Linked DNA regions of Oreochromis niloticus. The protein of the gene in region 1 interacts with the protein of each later gene in a pairwise test. Links are inferred from orthologs where the notes say so. Each region holds a gene or a part of one and is shown on either strand. Other genes may lie near its edges. The genes, in order: myf5 and id1.

The links.
Region 2: the proteins of myf5 (region 1) and id1 interact in binary tests that used the Homo sapiens proteins (3 or more experiments, as listed by UniProt). The link is inferred for Oreochromis niloticus from reciprocal best matches to the Homo sapiens genes MYF5 and ID1.

Annotation. Positions count from the first base shown.
Region 1 is NC_031981.2:15,814,200-15,822,884, forward strand, and holds myf5 (myogenic factor 5), read right to left. Parts: upstream 4,126-8,685; 5' UTR 4,028-4,125; coding exon 3,575-4,027; intron 2,653-3,574; coding exon 2,580-2,652; intron 2,358-2,579; coding exon 2,158-2,357; 3' UTR 1,028-2,157; downstream 1-1,027.
Region 2 is NC_031970.2:30,956,096-30,963,821, forward strand, and holds id1 (DNA-binding protein inhibitor ID-1), read right to left. Parts: upstream 2,780-7,726; 5' UTR 2,660-2,779; coding exon 2,303-2,659; intron 2,064-2,302; coding exon 2,028-2,063; 3' UTR 1,473-2,027; downstream 1-1,472. UniProt on the Homo sapiens protein: Transcriptional regulator (lacking a basic DNA binding domain) which negatively regulates the basic helix-loop-helix (bHLH) transcription factors by forming heterodimers and inhibiting their DNA binding and transcriptional activity.

The DNA.
Region 1 (8,685 bases):
ACAGAGTATCTTGGGGTTAGTATCTTGCTGAAGGCATATAGAGGGGAACAGCCAGGGAAGCCAGGGATCCACCTACCTTCTGAATAGCAGATGACCCGCTCTACCTCCTGAGCTACAGACATCCCAAGCCACCCACAGATTATTTGGTTCTTCTGGCCTCATTGAGCAGTGACCTCCAGCGTGTACTATGTTGATTTGCATCAGAGTGTGGAGAACAAGCACCTTTAAGACCCTGGTCCTCAGCCGGAAAAAGGGTGAAGTGCTCACCTCTTTTCGGTGAGCGGAGAGAGGAGCACAAAATTTACAGACAGATTCACACGATGTCTGCAGTGATGGAGAAGGTCCCGGGGCTGACCCAAGAGATGCCAGGGAGATTATGTCTCTCTCTGGCATCTCTCGGGTCCCAGGCTGGGAGGTCTGGGTGTCTCTACTGAAACTGCTGCTCCCTGCAACCCGAACCTGGATAAGCAGCACTAAAAGAATGTGTTGTTTAGCAAGATTAATGTAACATAACAACAACAAAAAAGAGTAAAATAAGAAAAAAAAATTGTGCAATCAGATAATTACAACTGATGCATTTACGCAAAAGTAGCATGGTAATACTTTAGATGATCCAAGTGGAGCTGTATCAGATTTGTGTGGTTTACATTAAATTCTGGTTTTACGTGATAATATGTTTTTGAAATTCTTACCTTTCTGATAAATGAACTGATACATTATTACAGCTTTCCAGCTCATTCCTTGAAAACCAGCTTTCTTAGTGCATGATCAAAGACATGATGGAGTATGACACATATGTGACCCCCTCCACCTCCGCCGCCTCCTCCTCTTCAGTCACACAATACATGCAATTAGAGGCCATTTGTTCTTAACTCTTGTGTTGATGGTGTAATCAAGGGTGTTAATGATGACTCACGTTTGGTAGGAAGGAACAAACAGGTATACACACACACACACACACACACACAGAGTGCAGCTTTACACTTCACGAGGACAGAGACACAAAAATGAGTTTAGAGATGTTTTTGAATTTTTTCCTTTATTTACACAGTTGTCTGTTTTTATTGAATCATTTCTGTGATCCAGGAAAGACACCACGTATTTGGCTTTTACAGTGCTGTACTGACTCATCAGCAAACAGGCTACATGAATGATTATAGCAGGGTAAAAATGATAAACGATATCAGATGACCTCTATCAGTGATCCTGACACCTTGTTAGCTGAAGAAAACTCCAAGATGTCCGGGACACTCCACGCGTGAGGCACATAATAAATAACTTGGCCTTTTATTTTGACAGTTTTTTTGGACTGCTAATCATGATTCTGCAAATGAATATAAATCTGCCATCGTAAGGAATAATTTAACTGTTCTAGAAACAATCTTTTTTAAAACCTTAAAAAAGCCAAAGAGATCAAAAGATAAAAAGTGAAATGACAGCAGTCGCTTTCAGCATCAGTGAATTGTTCATTATTAATTCACTTTTGCTGCAAAGCTCTATTAAAGTGAGGGAGATTCATGCTAATCAGGATTTTCAAATTTTTTTTGCAGACATTTTATTTTTCGGTCTCCAAAATTTCAGCGTAGCATCTGCTTAACTAGAAAAAAACTGGTTTCTAAATACAAAAAAAGTAGAAAAAAGACCAAAGAACAAAACAGGGGATGTAACAGTGTAGCACAACACTCCTTCAATTCAGTTCACTTTTTATTCATGTATATATAGTGCCAATAAAAGCAACATTAGTCATTTCATGACACTTTACAATAAAAAATAAAAATAAAAAAAATTAAAAAGTGGGGATAAAAGAACTCCCTTTTAACAGGACGAAACCTGCTAAAACTCACACTCAACTGAACTGAACTGCTTAAATACCATTTCTTTTTTGAATAATGCAACATTACATCAGCTGTTACAATTAAATATGTCTCACTGGGGATAATAGAAAGTATAGAATAAATGGGCATTTACATTATATATTTACAATCTCATGTACAGTACAAAAGCTGGCCGCCGCGCGTCCCTCAGGTTCTGCTGGGTTTTCCTCCCACTTGCCCAAAACTAGTTCTTATCGCTTTTGGTTGCAAATGCAGCTGGTGTTGGGTAAAAGCACGGCGCCCGCCTGAGGCAATATATATTCACATCAAAGCAAGGTTTCCTTCACAGGACGTGGTAGACGGGCCTGGATCCGGGGCTCTCCGGTGTGCAGGGCTGTGAGTCAGAGCTGCCGGGGGAGAAGCTGGACGTGTTTCTAAGGCCAGCCGGCCCACAGCTGCTGGACTCCACCGAGGACAGGCGGTCCACGATACTGGACAGGCACTCCAGACTGGACGCTCCGGCTGCTTTATCATCCACGCTATCTGATGAAGAGGATCCCAAATTCAAATTAGCCAAGTCTGGATCATACAGCTGATACATGTTATATAAGCTGACTTTAAGGCCTCAAATTAAAGATGGAACCTTAATAAAATAAAGTCTAAATATAACATAATCTGCTGTTCAGGTATTAGTTTTTAAAGCCCTGCAGGCAAGAATTCACATTATATTCATATCAAACTGCTGCTTAAGTTAAAAGGTCTTACTGTTCTTTGCATATGAATAGCCGTTGCTGTAGTTTGCATTCAGCTGTTGCCACACTGGACTGTTGCTGTCAGCCTGAAAGGAAATGAGAAATTGAATTTACCCTTGAATTCCTTCAAATACTTGCAAACAGACAGATATGATAAGCTGCTTGTTTAAACCGCTGTGTTATATTGGATAGGAAGAAAACACCCAGTGCAGTGCCCGCCATATATTCCGGACAGGCTAATAAATCCTGAATTCCAAAGTTATTGGCTTCTTTATTTCACATGCACCTTAAAGCCAAAGTGGTTTTTTGTGCCCTCCCCTCCCCGGCCCGACTCCGAGTGTAGCGAATCGATTGTATCAGTGGAAGCAACACCAGTTTGTGCAAGATGACACTTTCTCCTAGTAAATCTGCAGAAAATCCTGGCAGCGGTGCAGAACATGCAGTCAGGATGGAATGCAGAAAAGCGCCCAGTTTTGCCTGCCAGACTTCAGTAAGGTGGATTTAGCTTGGTTTAATGGGGCTATAAAGTGTCCGGTGGTGGGAAAGCCATTAGTCCAATCCAGCGTTATAAGTTGTTTTTGTATTATCTGATGCAAAGTCACCTTCAAACAGAGATTCAATATGACCTGTAATAATAAGCATCGCAAGCAGAGGACGGAGATTCTTGTAAGACAACATAATAGATGTTTGTATTACGGAATTATGGGAGGTGTTTGTCATGCATGGAAAACCATGATAATTATGGTCTTGAGGCAAAGCAAGCTCATTTGATTAACAGGTTGCTAAAGTGGAAATCAGGGTTCTGCATTGAAATAAAAAACTTGATAAGGTAAAGGGAACTGATAGAAGTGGTCTTGTTCAACACTGATGATGACTTTAGCAGTAAACAACAATAAAGACCTTTTCCAGGATTTACTGTGCAGTGGTTCTAATTTTTTTGCTGCTCAAGACCCTGATAAAACCAGGCACTTGCATAAAGAGGCTGAAGATGGGGATCAGCGGTCTTACCATGCCATCAGAGCAGCTGGACAGCGGGCTTCCAGGCTCAGAGCTGCTCTCTCCAGGTAGGCCATAAAAGTTTTCCACCTGTTCTCGTAGCAGCTCCTGCAGGCTCTCGATGTACTGGATGGCGTTGCGCAGGATCTCCACCTTGGGCAGGCGCTGGCTGGGGTTGGCCGAAGTGCAACGCCTCAAAGCCTCAAAAGCGTGGTTCACCTTCTTCAGCCGCCGGCGCTCGCGCATGGTGGCAGCCCGTCTGCGATCCACAAAGCTCGACTTGCGCTTGCAGGCCTTACAGGCCCACTGGAGGCAATGTCCTGGCTGGTGGGGGGCTCCTGGAACCCTGACGTGCTCGTCCTCCTCGGAGCCAGCAAGCTCCATGCCTGGGCCAAAATCCAGGCTGTCTGGAGAGGAAGCACATGCTCTGTCATAGTAGACCTGTGATGGTGAGAAGACATCCATGGCTTGTTAAAGTCTGAATGGATGGAGATGGCCGCAAAGGAAGGAAGGAGGGTAGTAGAGTTTGGGTGAAAGAGAAGAAACCTCTGAGTGATATGAGGGGTCTGTTGCCCCAGGCCCCCCTTATATGCCCCGAGGCCAAAGCCCAGGGCCCACATTGGCCAGATCTAATTACCATGGCCCATTGGCCCAGCCAGAAGGCAGGCAGGAGTCGGCTCTTCTCCCTCCCTGCCCCATCCCAACTCGCTGCTTCTCACCCCCCAGTACCCTGTGGAGTTTCCCACATCTGCACTTACTGGTGTTTTCCCACTCATCAACACTCTTCTCTTACAAGTCCACAATTAATACAAGGCTTAGAAATGTTTAAGGGGAGTGCAGCTTTAACCAAAGCTGGCATGTTTTAAAGCGCTAATAAGTATTGTAATGTATTATTTATGCTGCATGTATCTGTAACCAGCCTTTAGGCATCATGTCATAGCGCACAGTGAAAGTGACACTTGGCTATGAAGACATGAACATCGCAGAGTGTTTTTAGTTTAGTCAAATTCTGCTGAAAAAGAGGGTGACCACTTGTTGGAGTATGCAGGGCAATTTTTACGGTGAAGACAACAGCGTTGCAGATGCAGCCCAGCTGCAAAGGAAGGTGTAGCATTTCAAGCCCTGTGAATTCACATTAGTGCGGTAAGCCCCCCCTCCAAACACTCAAACTCATCACTTAAGGTGCTGTGAATGAGCCGATCCCTGTTTGCAAAAGCTCATTAAAACAGTAATTATTGCACTGACACCACTGCACAACTCCCTGCAACATTGGGGACCAAATTTTAACCGTTAAAAGTTATTGACATGACTCAAGCACACAACAGATGGCCGTGATGGTGCAGAGGCTTTCATTCAAGGGGATGACTCAGGGATTACGGAGTGAGGATGTTTACAGTGAAGATAATTCAATATTTGTCCCTGTAGTGGCTCTCCAACTTCTTTTTTTCTGACTGATAAACATTCAAGTCCCACATCCCGCAGTTTTTAATCCATCTTTAACAATAACAAAGGATCTGAGCTGAATTTTTGAAGGCCAACACTGCAGAATCAGCAAATCAGATTCATTCTTATGTCCCTTCCTTGCGGTGCCCACCCCAATGTTTGAGGCTAATTTAACAGAATAAAAATATACAGTGAAAACGATCCAAAGCCTTTTCTCAAATTGCATTTTCCCCATATTTTAACATCTCTGTAGAGGTTAAGATTTGCAGAAACATCTAAAGATTCCGAAATAATGCTTTTCACAGTTTGACCCAGTCCAGCTGGTTTAGGTAATGATGTTGGTGACAGCTTACAAGGATACAATGCGGATATTTCTCACAATGTGTCAAAGCGTTTGGCACGACCCGCACCCCCTCCAGCCCCATCACCACTTCTCTGGGAACTGCGCACACCTAAGAAAACACCAGTACCTGCTGCTGCCTCTGAATTGCCGTCGGAGTTTGGATTAGGCACAGCTGAAGAAGACATCGGCTCGCCTGAGCTTGTAGCTAGCTGCGAAGATCAAAGGCTGTTTAGACTGAGAACAACTCGGACAATGAGAAAACCTGGCATCAGCTTAATTGAGCCGGGGGGTTAGATTAGTGCAGCACATGGCGTAATGAGACGGGGAGATGATATTGCGCGCAGGCTGGAGATGTGATCTGCGCACTCGGCTCGTCTCTGGGGAGCTCTCCGAGTTTGCTTTTTTGTTGTTCTCAAGGGTCAAAGACAGAGTTAAGTGAAGGGCAGGAGGTGATCTTTTTATGTTTCATCTGCCTCACGTCTGAAAACCTTATGTCTTCTAAACTGCCTCACGCTTTGACTTTATGCTGCTTTTTTGGTGCTGCACCATCCCCCGATAGAGAGGCAGTGCATCGCTTACATTCCTCCTCCCATTTAGCAAAATAAACGGTTTTATGGAAATCTATAAATAAATGTATTTTTATTAAATAAACCCAAACTATGCAGAGTTACAGGATCTACAGTATGAACTTGTCAGAACAGTAAAAGTACTGAGTGGCCACTTTGAATAGCATCAAAAGTTGTTGGGATTGAAAAGTGGTTTAGAGGCATTTTTGCGGGGGGGGGGGGGTACTCCTTTTTATGACAGTCCCACTGAGGGTGATTAATTAGTTTGTACAGTATGAACATAAATAAATTGCAATGGTTTCTATGCATCGGCATGTCTGCTTTTCGTTTGGATTGTTAATAACAATGTCAAAACTTTTTAAAAGGAAAAAAAAACTTGCTTTCTCGCATTACAGTCACTTTGAAATAACAGCAAAATATTCTCTATATGTAAAAATATGTAAAATGTAAGTTGAGTAATTAATGAGTGATTATGATGCAGGTAACAGTGTGAAAATTAAGTCAATCTTAAAATGCAAGTTTGTGTAAATTACAAGATTCCCATTGAGATTTATTGAACCTCTTGATGTGTTCACTTGACCCAGTGGTTCTCAGACTTTTTCTACCATGCCCCACTCCAGAGGCCAAACACAGCCCATGTCCCCTTTTCTTTCTTATTAACATTTAAGTTGAATTTTATTCAAAATAAAAATATCAAATATATATTTATTCGAGTGAGGTTAACTTCATGGCACAGAAGGAGCAAGAGGAAGTCATGGAGAGGTTGGCAGGAAGTCAGAATATCTGATCAAAATATAAAAACAACAGCAGTTTGTGCTGATTCATGTTTGTGAACATAAATATTCCCTTAAAAAAGTTCCTCTGCACGAATTTCCAACGTTATTTCAAGTCCCTGAACACAACTTCTTCTTTTTTTTTAATCATTTCACTCTTATATGCACTGATTAAGAAGAAAAAATGTCCACATTTGAAAATGGGAGGTGTGGTGGACTCCAAAGACCTAAGCTTAAAACATTCAGATCACAGTTGTTCACATATTTGTATGATTTTTAAATATGTTTTAAGTAGGAATGTGTTACTTGGTGTGTTTAGAAAAAGTAATGGTTTGGGTTAGTGCAACTATCATATATATATAAATATAATAAATAAATAAATAAATAAATACATAAAGTTTAGTTTAACTAAACTTTATTTAGTTCCTGATTTATCTATAAAAAAAAAAAAATACATGCTGACATGAAAATGGTATTGCTGGTGGGAATACCCCTTCCAATGCCCAACAGTGGGCACGTCCCTGTTATATTATCATACTGATTAGATGTTTAAAATGTTATAACCTGAAAGAAAAACTCTATTGCTCCTAACTGGGTCCTTACCTCAGTTTGCCCTACATGAAAAGCTGTGGATGAAAGGAAAAAAGCAAACAAAAGCAATCAAATAAAATCAAAATCAAAAGAAAGAACAATGGATTTTATTTTTCAAAGCGCAGTGTTTTTGGTTAAAGGCAATTTCCCACCCACATAAAATCCAAGTCCATTTTACATTCCCCACAAGAACGAAAGAAAAAAAAAATGAGTGGCAACACCATTTGTGTTGGCAGTGAGCAGAAAGAGGTGCACCGCCAGCACCGTCAGTACTGAATCCTTTCCTAGCAGGATATTCAAGGAAAGTCTGAGTAAATCAGAGCATTTCAGCCTCCAGGCTTATCCCCCCTCCTATAACAGCTCGCCTTTCATCAGCTTTAACTTTTAAAACGCTGCCTTCACAGCCAAATGACAATTATATGGTGTCATCAGTAACACCGAAATCCCCGTAAAGTCAGACAAGAGAAAGTCTGGACTTGGAGAGACCAGGGCTATTTCTGTGAGCATGCACACAGTCAGATGGTGCAAACACAACAATAAGACAATGAGGTTCAAAACACAGTGAATACAACTCTACTAACAGCACAGAAAACGTGCTTGTATTCACCACCACCCCCAAAACCCTCACACTCATCTGAGTTCTCTTTTTAAATGTGATTACTGGCCTCCATTGTAACAGATATTACATTCACAGCTACACATATGAGCTACACATCATTCACTGCTATCAGAATGAGTGAGTAGGAGCCCATTAAAATCACATTACTGTTAGCGCTATCGGATTTCTGTCTGGTTTCTACAGAAAAAAAAGGATGTTTAGTATAAGATGTATGATTGCTGAATAATACCATATTATATAGAACCTTGCATTAGTGTATGTTTACCAGCTTTAATTTAGTTTGGTTGTGGAAGTGTTAACTTCATTTTGGGAATAAAAGTACACAGTACTGTGAAAGTAATATTGCACAAACTTTTACTTTGAACCTTGAAGTATTTTTATTAATCTACACTCAAGTAGCTAAAGAAAAACCAAGAGTGTTATGCTTTATTCATAACATGCAGCTATGCATTAAATGTGGTAGAGGTGTTGTGTAGATAGGGAAACACACACTGCCCCAAAGCTAGAAAGACTAACGCAAAAAAAAAGCAACAGATGTAAAAGCGCTGCAGGTTTTCTTTGGAAATTGTCGAGCCATTACATTAAAAACAAACTCAATTCAATTACCTGGTCTAGACTAGTTAATAAATAAAAGGACATGTGTAAATGATGTGCATTAATGAGAGGAAACACTGGCATAAAATATAGAATGAAAAAAGCCTCACAGCTGTGGGAAGAAAGGTCCTTCTAATTAGCTTTGTAGAGCGTATTGGCATCCTGAACCAGTCACTCAACACACTTCAGACTAC
Region 2 (7,726 bases), on another chromosome or scaffold:
TCTTCCTCTATCATCCTTGACACACGCACACAGCGGATAACCAAGACTTGCAATGTTTTTCATGCTCGCCAGAGGGCGCTAACTACCAGCGGGAGTTGGAGGCAGGGGGATAATGATGATGATTTATGTTTATTGACTCTGGGATTAAAATGATAATTGTTATTAAGACTGAGGCCAAAATCCTCGACACAGTCCCGACTGGATTTAACGGTAATTAAAAAAAAAAAATCGAGAGCAAAGTACAAACTTCTTATAGAGGCTGCCCGGCCACACAGATAATATTACACGTGTTTAACAGTTTAACTGCTAAGTAATATCATAAATGATGAAAAAAGTGTTAAATAAGTCCACTCGTGGAAGCTTCTCCTAGAACTAAAACAGTGTAGTTGGTTCCCCCCCTTCTTTTCTTTCCTCTTTTAAGTATATATAGCAAACTTATGGCATACGACTGTACTGTGGGAATCTCTATCCGACAAACTCTCTCTGTCTCTCCCCCTCCCTCTCTCTCTCTCTCTCTCGGTGTTGGCGTGGTTCCCGGCCCATCTGCGGCCTGGCCTGTGGATTACTGTTTGTTAATGTTTCAATCAGCTGTGTGTTGAGGAATGTGGAGCTATTTAACCTGAACTTCCCCAGGTGTGCCGAGGCGCCGCTCAGTCTGGGCCCCGCCGCCCTCCCCTGCCCTTGGCACAAAGCTATCACACAAACACAATCACACACTGGCCACGCCGGGGCTGCAGCTGTGCGCATCGCACCGCAGGGAAATGGGAAAAACATTGCACCAGGGAGACAGAATAAATCTTATAACGAATCGCCTCGCCAAAGCCATTTAACTCCTGCGGTGCCGGCAGATTTTTATTTTTTCGACTGCTGATTTACACGATAACATATTGAAACACCATATTTAAATGGATGTTTTATGTAGTGAAGAAAAGCCTTTTGTTTTTATTTATTTGATTTTATTTTCTAATCAATGGGTTGGCTTATCTTTGCCACAGAATTCGACACATGGGGGGAATAAATGAAAACCTTCGACAGAACATGTGTGTCACTAATGCGTGGTTTTAATTTAAAGTTTATGTCAAGACTTTATCTGTCAGGATATTTAAATGTGTAGATTTAAAGTGTGACTTCCTCTTGTAATGTGATGCTTTAATGGCTTATAGTGAGTCAAATTACCCATTAAACTGGCTGTGAACCAGTATGTTTACCACCAGCTTTGGTTTTTACGTTACTTGAAAGTAGGTGTAGCACTTTTCTGTGACAACTAGTTTACACTCTCCTAAATAAGAATATATGAGTGTACTCGTGTGATTAATTGGAATGCTAATAAGGCTTTAACGGTCATCATAGCGTAATCACCATGCAGTGTTATTTTTCACAGTTACAGCTCCCAGCAACGAAACCTCCCCAGGTATAGCATGTGAGTCAGATACCTTCTCACTCCCGCACACAGACACAGTGAGACAGAGGGATCTTGTTCAAAAATAATGATCTTGTTTTAATAAAAACACCAAATAATGTACATTGTAAGAAAACAATATCTTCACATATTGTGGCATTGTAATATACAATACAGTTTGTCGCTCAGGAATCTGAGAAATTAACTTTTTTTTCTTTTTAAATCTTTTACAAAAAATGTTGAATCCTCTACATGGTTTACACAAGATACAAAGAGCAGTAACAGAAATCTTTAGCTTTCTTTAGAAACTCTGCAAGCAACGGGCGATGCCGGTTGCGCTGAACTTCTCTTGGTCCCCTGGCTAACCCAGTCTATATCTGGACACTCTCTGCTCATCTTCCTCTCGTCTCGTGGCCCTCTTATAAATCGAGAACCGTTAAGTGACAAAAGTGAGGCTCTTCGCCGCAGAATGTCCACACAACTTGTTATCTAACACTGGGAGTACGAAACGTCCCTACACAGTTCAAGGTTGTAATTCTTGATGCGGTTCGAGAAGTCACATCAAGTAGCCTTGTTCATCCCCTCGCTGTGGTTGATGTGATGTGATGGGGCGATGCTCCAAGAGCTCTTAACGACACATGATCCTGTCATCTGAGCATCCGTTCTGCGGGAAGAAGAAAGTAGGTTGATTAGTACAACGCCGGTATATATATATATACACACATTTTTTTTTAAAGCACACGAGTTGTTATCCATGCGCAAATTGAGCTTTTACGCACAGGCTTGCAAACTTTACGCACCCGTACCGACACTTATATGCATGTTTTTATCTGAATGCATGCAGGTCTGTTTGGACTATCGCCCATTCGCTGATTCATTCAGTATGAGTGGCGAGATATTTACCTCCACTGAGATGCTTGCAAGCTCCGCGTTCAGAGTGGTAAGCGGCGTGCGGGGCACGCTGCTGACGGTGTGCTGGCGGCTCTTCTCCGGCTCGTCCAGCTCGACCTGCAGGTCCCAGATGTAGTCAATGACATGCTGCAAGATCTCCACTTTGCTAGCCTTCTTGTTTGTGGGCAGAGTGGGCACGAGCTCCTTCAGTTTGCTGTAGCAGCTGTTCATGTCCTGGAGGAATACGCTCATCTGCTCGTCCAGCAGCGGGATCTTGCACTTGGAGATGGTCAGGCTCTGATCGGACAGGCAGCGCACCACGTCCTCGCCTTTGCTCTTCAGGGCACAGGTAGATCCGACAACCTTCATCTTGATTAGTGTAGCTTCCAAAAATGACGAGTAAGAGAAAGAAGAGTTGTTGGGTTGGTCTCCTTTTTCAGGGATGATAGCAACACAATGTTGACAGTTCGCAACATCCACATGGGCAAACCTCCCCGGCTTTATAAGAAAGTAGAAGCCAGAGGCGGGGCCGAATCGTCCGGTTTGAAGGCGGACGGCCAATGGGGCAGCTGCGTTTGTATTGATGGAGGCGGTTCAAAACTTCTCTCTCAGCCAGTGACAGCGCTCGGCTGGTTATCGGGATTTACAATCTGTTTGAGGGATGGCGTTACAAATGGAAACAAATGTGTGTCTTTTATGGGTAATATGTGGGAATCCAGCTGTCCACGGCTTGGGGACTCTGCAGGTGTAGATTGCCTGGGGACAGTCAAAGGGTGGTGAATAGTTGGGTATGCGCTGTGAGAATGCGTGTGGGACGGGACGGGATGAATGGAATGAATGGCTAATGATAATTAGGCTACCACAGTGCCTTTTCACAATTGTTGATGCCACTGCAGATGTGGATGACAATAGTACAGTAAAAGTTTAAAGAACTCATTTGGCCGAATAATTCTGGGAAGGAGTAACCTTTTCTAAAAATGTATCTTTTTTTTCTTTTAGATTTACGTGGTTTGCGTGGAATGCAGCGTCTGAACAGTTAAGCGGTTTATTCCATTTTCCCGATCATTAGCTTATTACTATTCGATGTCACAATGTTGACCGATTTAGAAAAAAATCACGCTCCTAAAATCCTCGCTCTCTTCACTCAAAGCTTTCTTTATGCTCACAAACGGCACTTCTTTGGACGAGCAGTCTCTTTTTCCTGGCTCTCAGCGCTGAAGGAAGACCAGTGTGAGCATCGGCTTCACGGATTCCTTCACATGTTTCTGCAGTGTGTGCTCAGCCTTGTGTGTGTGTGTGTGTGTGTGTGTGCGCACACAGATCGCATCGCTCTGTTCCGAATCTTCCCCCCAGATTGTCCAAACAAGCCCGAGCAGACTGGCAGGCGCCACTGCGGTGACGTCACCCATTCATCCGAGCCTTGACGCCTGTCAGCCTGGCGCCGCTCGGGCGGTCTCCATGGAGACGTTAAACAAGAGAGCGCGCACTCCGGCACTCCTCCATTCACCTGCGTGGCGCGCGGAGCCCTGAGAACAAACCGGCTCCGGAGCTTTTGTCGTTCATTTATCACCTTAAAGCAGCGGGATGAGATTACCGCCCCGCGCACCTGCAGAGCAGCTGCTGTCAGCCGGAGCTACAAAGGAGTTAGGACACAAACTAGCTGTAGCATTCCTTCAAACGACCGACATTCACTACGTTACAATTTTAAAAAAAGATGCATGCATTCTATTACATATGCAGGAATTCCGTTGACCACCGTGTTAGTGAGAACCGGTATGAATGCGTCATGCATCAAACGCCTTTCTGTTTCCTGTCTGCTAATGTCATGCAAATAATGCAGAAAATCTGAAATAAAAAAAGCTGATAAAGGAAAATTTGTGCCATTAAGCAAATAGAATGACCGCTCTAAGCGTCATATTGTTACATAATATTTTACTGTTGATTTATAAATGGAATAATACGTTTTATACAGTGTTTAATAGATGAGGCATAAAGTTTTAAGTTAGCTGGTGTGAAAACTGAGAGCACGTCAGGTAAAGTTCTGAAACAATCCAAACCAGTTTTTTTTTCCAACTAAGTTTTAAGGTGGAAATAATTTGCCTTGGTATTTGCATAACAATCCCCGTGAAACAGAAAGTAAAAGCAAGTACTGCAAGAAATATGTAGGAGAAGAAACAGATGCATAATGAAAACATTATATAAATGGTTTCCCTTTGTGAAAAGTTTTACAGTCCAGTGCAGGAATGCGTAGAATAAGTAAAAAAAAAAAAAAAAAAAAAAAAAAAAAACTTCAGAGAAAGTGCTGTGCAAAGGTATTAAAACTAGCTAATGCATTAATGTAATGCACGAATAAAGTGAACAGTAAGCAGTAAAGTTGCACAAGTATCGGTATAATACCGTACAATATATTCCTAACAACAACTTTCATGTTTACAATTGCAATAATTGTTGGTTTAATGCATATATATAAAAAAGAATAATTTATATGTTGATATTTGCGCTGACTGACTAAACTCTTAGCTTTGCATCATTCCTTTTGCAGGAGGAAGAAATTATAAACAGCTTGCTCTCTTCACATTTTAATATAAATGCCATTTATAGCTGCTGCTTATATCTGCACAGATGTTGTGCCATACCAGAGATAACGTCAGTATAACAAACTTAACTACCACCGGCTGTTACTTCTAGCTGTTGCAGTAGCCTGTAAAAACTTTTTCTTCTTTACTTTCTTGTCTTTTCTTTTCTTTCCCTTTTTTTTTCTTGCCCTCTGTCCTAGGTCGCAGCTGACAGGGCGGAGGGAAGGCCGGGTGGGCAGAACAATGGGAGTGCGGTGCAGGGATTGTGGGAGAGAATCTAGGCTGGAGCCACAGTGTCTGGAGCGCCCCTCCACTCCCCTCATCCAGCTTTTGTTCAGCTGCAAAAGCTATCAGCACTTCCTACTGACACCAACAATAACTCCACACAGCTGGGCCCTTTTTAGCCTGTTTACAGCACATCAAGGCGAGGGGAGCGAGAGAGAGAGAAGACAGAGGGAAGAGGCAGAGGACGGGAAAGAAAAGTGAAACATATTAGCTCCTGATTTTAACTGACAGAATGGCAGTGCCCTCTCTTTCTCTCCCCGCTCCCCTTCCCTCCTTCATCACTGACACAGAATTCATTTCCCCGTGGACTCTTTATATGTGAGCTGATTATGGCTCTGTGTTTTAACTTTTTATTTTTGACAGGCTACTGTTTGTGTCAGTGCTCTTGCAGCATCGCACGTCATCAAACGGCAAAAAGAAGCGCTGGTATTTTTCTTTCAAGGACACGGTGTATCTTTGCAGCATTTATGCCAGCACACAAACACTTTTCTGGTAGCTTTTTTTTCCTAGATAAGTTGTTCCATTCGGTGGAGGGGAAACATATTAGCTAATACGCCCTCTTTATCGCTACGGCAAACAGATCTATAAAAGCACACCGCAGGAAGCCGCATGGGTGGGTGGGGGGGCAAAAGTTGGTGCAGGAATTCACTGGGAGGAAATAGGACATTCCAGTAATGCTTTGACACTTTTGCTGCTGTTATTATTGCTGCGAGGACAATAAGTAGCCCTCGTACTACTTCCTGAAACATGAAAGTGACCAAAGCACAATTATGCTTTCTTGGACAGAGGATTTTGACTTTGGTATGATTCTCCAAATACGATGTCGAAAAGAAACAGGGAGGAATTTGATTATGAAAAGCAAGTGTCACTTTTAAGTTTTCAACAATTTTCACTAACATACACAAACACACACAAATACACACACAAATGCACACGCCACTCCTCGCAGCTGTGGGATTAGTTTCCAGTTCCCAGTCAGGCTCTTCCTGTTTGCTTGATAATGATCACACCTGTGTGCAGGTGTGTGGAGAGGCTCATATGGGACAGGGAGAAGCGTGGGTGGGGGTGGGGGGAGTGTGGTGTCAGGTATAAAAACTTGTGGTACCGCACCACAATGTCACGTCTATCCTCGGATGATTGATTGATGACCCATGGCACCTCAGGCTCCTCACATTCGACACAAAAATATAGAAAGTTCAGCACATAGAAAGTGCTGATCCGTGTGAGATTTTTAGTTGTGTTTTTTAAACATAGTGCGTCACACCTTCTGTGGGTGTGTTTCCGCCTGGATCCTCGTGTGCCCCGGCGTGGCCTGGCACCTCCCTGGCAAGCCCAGCCCGTGTAATGACTGAGGACCAGTGGTTAGGACTCACTTCCTGTGGGAGTCCCAGTTCACAGATGTGTCATCAAAAAGTGCAGACCGGCTGGAGCCTCACCGCCTGTTGGGTGTTTTTCCTGTGTGCAGGGAGCAGACTGGGTGGGTGGATGGACGCCCTTCCCTGAGAGCAGGGGCAGGTTACGGGAACGCTATCTCCATCTGATAGTTGGTGTGCAGCTGAAGCTCGTGGAGATCCTTGAAGTTCCCCCCCACCCAGGTGTCCTCTGCTCAGCGTCCTTGCCCTGAGAGGAATCATTGGACAGCTTGGTCCCTCTATATCTGTTTCTCTCAGTTGTCTTCATGTGTATGTGTGCGTTCACCGGACCCAAAGCTCACCCCCCCCCTTTACACCCCTGTGGCCATCTCCCTCCGCCTGGTTCCCACACACACTATCAAAGCCCTTTAATGGTTTCTAATTAGCTCCCCATCTGCTGGTGACAGCGCACTGGTGGCATGCTAAAGCACCCATTGAGAGCATAGGCATTGTGCTCTGGAATACTTTCCACTCCAGTGGCAATTGCCTGGAGAGCGAGCTTTAGCTGGGAGTGCGTGTGTTGTGGGGAGGAGTGGGTGTTCAGAGGTGGGGTGGGGTGGGGGGACTGGGAGTCTTCTCTACGGTTAGGGGTTCGGGGGAGGGCCGGGTTGGAAGGATACACAATGAGAGACAGTGTTACGGCTTGTTGCAAATCTAATAACACCAGAGTCCCTTTTCCGTTCAGTGGTCATCCCCATCACCCACCAACCCTCCATCCGCCTAGCAAGTATTTCACCTCAGCCCTCCCCCTACTTCTTTCGGTCTAGCAACAGTTTGACATCACACAGGTGCCATTTTGGATGTTTTAACACTAACTTTATATTGAGGCTGTAGTAAAACTGTAAACACAGGCTGAAGAGATTCTCTTTTATCCTGAGAAGTTGCCTTCTTGGACTGAACAACAAACGCACCTCTATAGACACTGTAAATGCAGCCTAATGAGGCCTCTTCATTAGCACAACCTGTCTGTGTGTGAATACTGGCTTTTTGTCGGCTCTTACAAGCCCCTCTCCTTTCCAGGACTTCCAGCAGAGTCCAGGTCCGCTAGTAGCAGAAGGGGAAGCCAGCTGTTCTCAGCTGGTTGCCACAAGATGCCTATGGGGGACAGGCCTGATTGCTGCTGGCCAGCTGCCCCCTGCTGCAGGCGGGAGATGGAGAACAAT